2 linked regions of the Daphnia pulex genome follow. The protein of the gene in region 2 purifies or fractionates together with the protein of the main gene of each other region. This does not show direct contact. Links are inferred from orthologs where the notes say so. Each region holds a gene or a part of one and is shown on either strand. Other genes may lie near its edges.

The links. The genes of interacting proteins can lie anywhere in the genome.
Region 1: the proteins of calcium homeostasis endoplasmic reticulum protein-like (region 2) and splicing factor 45-like purify together in Homo sapiens (co-immunoprecipitation; 4 studies listed by BioGRID and IntAct, counting the BioPlex papers as one, with this or other methods). This does not show direct contact. The link is inferred for Daphnia pulex from reciprocal best matches to the Homo sapiens genes CHERP and RBM17.

Annotation. Positions count from the first base shown.
Region 1 is NC_060018.1:8,645,547-8,648,949, reverse strand, and holds splicing factor 45-like, read right to left. Parts: upstream 2,661-3,403; 5' UTR 2,460-2,660; coding exon 2,346-2,459; intron 2,282-2,345; coding exon 2,041-2,281; intron 1,966-2,040; coding exon 1,872-1,965; intron 1,795-1,871; coding exon 1,371-1,794; intron 1,297-1,370; coding exon 1,122-1,296; intron 1,054-1,121; coding exon 956-1,053; 3' UTR 922-955; exon of another isoform or gene 833-921; 3' UTR 640-832; downstream 1-639. UniProt on the Homo sapiens protein: Splice factor that binds to the single-stranded 3'AG at the exon/intron border and promotes its utilization in the second catalytic step. Involved in the regulation of alternative splicing and the utilization of cryptic splice sites.
Region 2 is NC_060023.1:8,902,370-8,906,123, reverse strand, and holds the start of calcium homeostasis endoplasmic reticulum protein-like, read right to left. Parts: upstream 2,323-3,754; 5' UTR 2,209-2,322; coding exon 2,184-2,208; intron 2,122-2,183; coding exon 1,682-2,121; intron 1,624-1,681; coding exon 1,332-1,623; intron 1,265-1,331; coding exon 517-1,264; intron 434-516; coding exon 14-433; intron 1-13. Other genes in the region: uncharacterized protein LOC124197929, read left to right, coding at 3,679-3,754. UniProt on the Homo sapiens protein: Involved in calcium homeostasis, growth and proliferation.

The DNA.
Region 1 (3,403 bases), on a different chromosome or scaffold from region 2:
CGCTTTCGAATTTATTATACAGCACACGGTCACGAAAAATAATGCATAACAGGCCGTATTTACTGAAATGCTATGCTTTATAAGCACGTACGTTATTGAGCATTTGAGCTATATTAAATGTCAAAATATGAGGTCAATAATAATGGCAATGACAGCTGACCTTGTTCTCGATCATGTTGAGACATGAACGATTCACGAAGAATTCTTTCAACATTATGATATCATAGGAATTTTGAGGCAAGAAGAGGTTCCCACTTTGCGTAGCTATTTCGAAGAACTACATATACTCATGGTTCTTGGAAACCGGATTATACTATTTAAAAAATACGTTAACGTCGATAGATCGTCCCCTATAAAATATTAACCTCATTTTTATATGAAAGTGGTTTAACCTACTGAATGTCACTTAAAAAACACTTAAGAAAAGAACCAATTTTCATGAAATTTTTTATGATTTGGAAACGGGATATATATATGGAAACCTACCGCCAAGTTTCCGAATTCAAATCTATACTTTTTTTATTACTAAATTCTAAGCATCCACTAGAAGTCTATTACTGATTTGCAGCTACGCTTGACAACTCAAATTTTAAAAAGTAGAATCTACCTTTTGATGAAAAATGAATGTAGTCGTGAAAATCAAAGTAAAGTAAATCTATTTTACACTTTGAATGTAGAACCTTGCTTGATCAACACATTTTTGTGCAATTCAATTATTTGTTCTGGTGTGATATTGCGAGGACACGCTAGCTTGTGAAGTTAGAATTTGTTTTGCTTCGTAGTAGTTTAAATTCATCTCTCTTCATCCCTTTTAAGGAATCAATCTTATTTCCTAGAACGAGAGAAAGGTTTTTCGTCCTAAAGGTCAAATGCTTCCAACTTTTGGGAACAACGCCATACCATGTAATTAAATTCAATTACTTTCGATTCGTAAAATTTATTTTTCAATACGTGTTCAATCATTCAGCTCCATCTTGAGAAATCTTTCCACATCATAGAATCCGGCTTTCACCTGCCGACCAGCAAAGAATCGGCCGTTGAGATCAATTACGGCTACAAAAAGAAACGACAGTTAACAATTTTTAACAGACCTGTGTTATTGTTCAACTGTAGTTAATTACCTTTGATGGCAGCTTCCATTCGTTTAAATTCAACAAAAATCCGTACAGCTTCCTCTTCCTCGGCGTTAGGTACCTCGAAAATAACAACTTTATTCACATCCCCGTATTTTGTCTGACATTCCTCGCGTACTTCGGGTTCCAAATCAGAATCCACTTCACCAGGGCCAACCATATTCTAATGAAAGGGGAAACAAACAAACAACAGAATTTGAAATGAGGACCGTGAAAATGATTGACCTATGACATTACCCTCAGATAAATCACTTTTGAAGGATTCTTCATGATATCAGCAATCGTTAATTCCGCTTTGGGAGCAGCTGTTGGCGACACAACAGGTGGCGGAGGAGGCATAATTTCTTTTTCATTGATAATACGTCCACCTCGCTTGCTTGTTTTTTCCACTTGTAAGGCAGCTGCAATACCTTGCTGTTGTCGTCCAAGTCCCTGACCTTCTTTGAATCCATATTTTGCCATGATCTTAGCAGCAACACCAAGAGCTCCAACCCCACTTCCAGTAGAGGAGAGAGAAGGATGAGATGGCGATGAGTTGTCTTGTAATGATGGAGGTGGGGCAATGGCAACTCCACCAGAAGTAGAGGACTTCTTCACCATTGGTTCCTCTTCCTCATCATGTAAACGTCCAGCAAAACCTGATCCTACAGCAGATGAGGACCTAAAACATGAAATGGTTATGTAATCAGTTTCTATCATCACCATATTTATTAGGCAGCTCCCAGTCCCATTATATACCTGTCTCTGGTTTTAATATCTCGATCATCCCTAGGCTTCCTTTTCTTTTCAGCTTCTTCTATTTCAATTTCAATCCCTCGTCGTTCCTTTCTCTCTAAACAAAAAACAAAAAAAAAAACAAAAATTATTGTATTCAGATTTTTCATTTTCTATAAAAGGTGCTGTGTACCCCTAATGATTTTGTCATAGTCAGTAGGATGCAGTGGATCATACTCTAGATTTGGGTCCCATTCCAATTCAGCAAAGAGTGAGGATCTCTCTTGTTTAGGAACAATAGTTGTCAAGAGTTGGGGTGTCTGATGAATCAGATTTTTGGTCATTTCAGGTTCAGTTTTTATCTGTGATTCAGTAGCTGTGAGGCAGGGTGGTATTACAGGATGGATAGCTCTTCGGATACCTTCACGTTTTGGCTAGGAAAAACAAATCTTTCTTCATAATCTATGAGTAACAAATGAAATGTAAATTGTAGGATACCTGTGTAATCATAGCTTTCTTTAAGTGCATCTGCGAATGTAAAAGCTTGATTCCTGACGACCATCCGGTGACAGATTTAGCTTTATTTTCGTCGATATCATCGTAAAGAGACATTTTCACAGCAAAGTAATTTCTTATATCCGTTGAATTAGTTGTCGTTCAAATCGTTTTTAAACAGAGCTCAGGACGCCTTCGCAGTAACATACACAAGAAATAAAAATAGACGACGAATGCAAATTGTACTGTATTTTTTTATGTTTTGATGTATTCATCTCATGAAAGGTGAAGGTGACTACTAAACAGCTACCTAAATCTGCAGTGAGGAACCAGGGGGCAGGGGCATGCCAGGGCCCAGCAGGGCCAGGGCCCAGGGGTGGCCAGGGGTGGCCAGGCACTACAGATACAGCGATACTACCCTGTTTCTACTTATAAATAATTGAATTGTTTTTTTGTCAATTAAACACCTTGCTTTTCGGATACGGAATAGAAAATACGGAGCTTCTCCCAAAAAATTGCCTCCTTGCGCATATCGTTGATTTTTGATTGTTTTGGGACAGGAATATTTTTGGGTCGGCCCTTTTACGAGTTACGACACCTCCAAATGTCGCCACAGTTGTGTGCCGTTAATTGTATGCGTATCTATATTATCGAGCGGACGGACTTGTTATAAGAGGTGTCTGTGACGAAGAATCAGTGACGAGAAAGAATAAAGTTATTTATATCGCAAATTCCAACAATTGGTTTGTGAGAAGTCACTGTTTTTCTGCAATAAAACTCAACGTGGCTACATCTTGCATCTGAACTTTCTGTAGCACCGAACAATAATTATTTTAATACTATTTTTAAATTAACTGAATTTAACCGAATCTTTAACGCTTCTTTTAAGAATCATTAATAATGATGCAGACACGTGTATTACTTCTTGAAAACCGGTAGCTATTAAACTTAAGCCGGGCGGAGATTACCGCCTTCGTTAGAGAAAACGAGACGACTTCTCCGTAGAAGAAACAGAAAGAGAACAATTAAAATCACGGAGAAGGAAAAGAAAGAAGAAAAGC
Region 2 (3,754 bases):
AGGGGTTGGTTACATTTCTGAAGGTGGCGTGGGGCTCCGCTTTTGCGCAAAACCGGTCATCGTGACGGGCGAATTAGATCTTGATTCCGAACGACTAGGTGTAGGAGAACGAGAGCGTGCAGCTCGACGGGGCGACTCTGAATTAGATCGACTTCGGCGACGTCTTGTTGAATTTCTAGGCGATCTGGATCGTGATCGAGCTTGCCTCGATTCTTCTCTATGCTCTTCCTCGGGCGACTCACTGCGGAATCTTCGACGCACGGGACTTCTGATTCCATTCTTACCACTTCTTTCAGGGGAATGATCCTCGACAACTTCGATAGGAGTTCGAGGCGGCGACATGTCGCGTAATCCCTGAGCAATATCTTCTTCTTTCTTCTTTTTCGCAGTTGCCTTGTTCTTATAAAACTCGAAAAGAGCCATCTGCTCCCACCTAAAAAAAAAAACAAGAAAGAGAAAAGTTGAGAAGAAGAAGCTTGAATGATAAGCCAACAAGAAAGGAAATCTATCACGAACCCATCTGCGTTTCGTGGTCGGTCGTGCGAGAGAGGACTGTAGAAGAAATCAATGGCGGCAATCAATCGCTCAGACGGTGGGAGCGGTGCAGGAAGGCGGATATCTTTCGGATCGATGCTTTTGTACTCGCTGTCTTCCATTCTCACCAGTGGGACGAGTAATCCCGCTGGTAAGTCGAAGTAGGGAGCCTTTGGTTCAATTCCTTCACACGGGTAGTTTTGCGGGGCATTAAGGGAAGCAACTGGCGGCGGGCGAGATAAGAAATCCGGCGGCATGGCGTGATGAGGTGCATTAAAAGACTGCAAAGCATTGGCCGCCGCGATTTGTTCTTCAATTTGCAGTTTCTGTTGCTCTAGCTGCTGAATCTGGTGGTTGGCATGATTGACGAAGGCTTGATGCTGGCCGCGGTAGTTTTCGTACGTATGCTGAATGTTGCTAGTTGAAGCTGCTACGGCTGCCGAGTATTTGGCCACTAGACTGTTGTGGTATTCATTCCAGATGTGTAAAGGTGCGTGTAACCTTTCCAGGACACCACGCTCAAACAAATTATTTTTCGTTTGCCACAAAACGACCAGTTTTTGCAATTTGGCGTTTTGCTCCTCGTCGGTTGCAGACAGACTAGTGTTTGAAAACATGTGGACGACAACTTGTTCGAGTGTCTTTAAAAGCGTGTCGGGTCCTTTGCGGAGACAATGGTGTAACACGTCGTTGACCAAATAGATCAAGTGAAGTTTGTGGGTAAATTGACCTGTTGATTCAGAAAGAAAAAAAAATGCTCAGGCAATGCCAAGTAGCCACAACAGAGGAAAACTTACTGCTTTGAGTTGTTTTGAAAAGGAGATATTGTGCTATGGCATCAGAGGATGAATGAGGCTGCATCACATGATGGAGAATCCAAGCTTTACCCTGAGATATGGATTCTTTGGTGCAAGAATCCATGATAGGCAGTAAAAGCAATTCTAACTCTGCCAAATTCATTCCACTTGCCAACGCTTTTTCCATGACTTCTTTTTCGTGTTGCAACTTGACTGTTTCCTCTGTCTGCTTTTTCTGCTGTTGCACTGTCACTTGATGTTGAGCGGCCAAGTTGCTTTCACTTTGTTTGATCTGGTGAACCAAACCAATTAGTATTTACTATTTTTGATATGATCTGGAGTATGTTTACCTGTTCCTGCAGTTGAGTTTGTTGGGCAACGAGTACATCTTTTGCACCTTTTAAAGCAATCAAATCTGTTTGAGGAGGGATGGGATTTTGTCCAGGAAATGACATCTGATTGGGCATTGATGGCTGTGGGTGAGCCCTAGGCCATGCAGAAGAAGGGCCATAGTTGTAATTCCTATTGAAACTGGGATGTTCTGTATTAGGCGGTGGGCCATAGTTGATTGGATAGCTCATGGGTTGACTTTGCTCTCGGACAAACTTTTGCTTGTTAATTGCTTGCTCTGTTGTCACACGGTACTGGTAGTAGTTGAAAAGTTCCCCACCAAACAGGAAACCAAACTTGGGGTTATCTCGTTGTTTGTTTTTCGTCATTTGCTCAAATTCGGGACCATTTCTCGCCACAAATTGAGCTAACTTGTCAATAATGTTGCGCAGTTCTATGTCTATAAAAATATTTGTTGTGAACAAATTGATGAGGAGATTTTTCAATTTAAACGGTTATTACCTTCGGGAGGACGAGGTAGATCCATTGCAGAGTTTTATGTTTTAAAACTTTAATTAAACTTTAGGCAATCAAAAACACACATACATATGCAACTGTGAATTGTTTCGATGCCGGCATTAATAGTTCGTGTTGAATTCCGCCAGAGTCTAGTAAACGGTGCGTTTTTGCTAAACTAGATGGCGTGAAGTTCGGTGCGAATAGTAAATTCCCTAACGTGTGACAAGAATTTCAATTGGGGAAAAATTTCTTGTTTGTATACATCGAATGCAGCTTTCCATATTTATGAGTATATGCTTCTTTGTAATTCAAACTCGTTTTCCACATAATTAAAGGTTGATATGATGTGTTGACGCGTTAAGTTCCAATCTCTTTCCTCGTCTCGCTGGGGGGGAGTCTGACTCTCTCTCTCGCGCTGCAGGTCGTGTCATCACACGCAAAGTAATCGGTCAACCAACAATTACAGCAGTAGCACACATGAATAGATACATCAACTCTCAAACGGACAGTTCGCTTTTTCTTCGCTATTTCAAAATGCGTTCTTGGCAGGGTCCCAATCGAACGATGTGTCGCAACAAAAGACACACCAAATATCATAACTCTTTGTCCCAGATGAACTACCTCTTTTTTAATATGACAGTGTTTCGGGGCAATGATGACCAGTGGAAGACCATTTTTTTCGCCTGTTCTTCTTCCTATTTCCGTTCTCGACCGTTCGGGTAACATAATAGCTTGAGTGGGCGGCTGCGAATGCCAATAATATACATCAGCAGTGTGTGTGTGTGTGTGTGTGTGTATGCGAGTGTGTGTGTATGGCGCCCAAAATAGTAGCACACTGCATCCAACTTGAGCCAAGTTTTAAAATATTTGGAAGCAACTGCGAAAAAAAGGGCGAACACCAGACCAGAAAGAAAATGAGAAGCGCGTCGTGTAGGAAAAAGAAAAATTCAAACTAAAAACAAACAAATTTGCCAGTTTTTCGTGGGCAAAGTTAGTCGGCGATCGGGTCGTGAGCAAATCGGCCGCATACAAAATCTTCTTCCTTGTTCTAATATTAAAATAATTGGAGGAAAAAAGTCGTTGGCGTTGGAAAGAATTCGACAGATTGTGTGTGAATCGAAATAAGTGTATTTGTTCAAGTGGAAATGAAATAACCCAAAATATTTTTGACTGATTGTGTAAAGTGCTCTTTCGTTTCAATTTGATCCAAATCATTCAAAACAACATTTTATTTCTTCCACTCGATTTTCAGAGATCCGGAGGGAGGTCCAGTAGCTCGTCGAATGGCGCCGAGATGGTTGGGTGTTGTGTTTGATTCATATGCCAAAACACGAGCCCTTTTTTGAAAAAAAGTTGACCTTCAATCAACTTCGTATTCCGACGTTGCGGAGTGAGAGGAATGAGATGCGAGTCTGGCAGACGATAGCTGAATCGTGAGACGAGGCATGCGTTGTGCCACATTGGCTGCCGGGAAGGCTCGGATTCCGCTCGGACGACCATGTCAGTCAAAGCGGAATTGAACGACGAGACTAAATTCATGGATCTAAGTGCCATCGGGTGCAGTTTGTTACTGG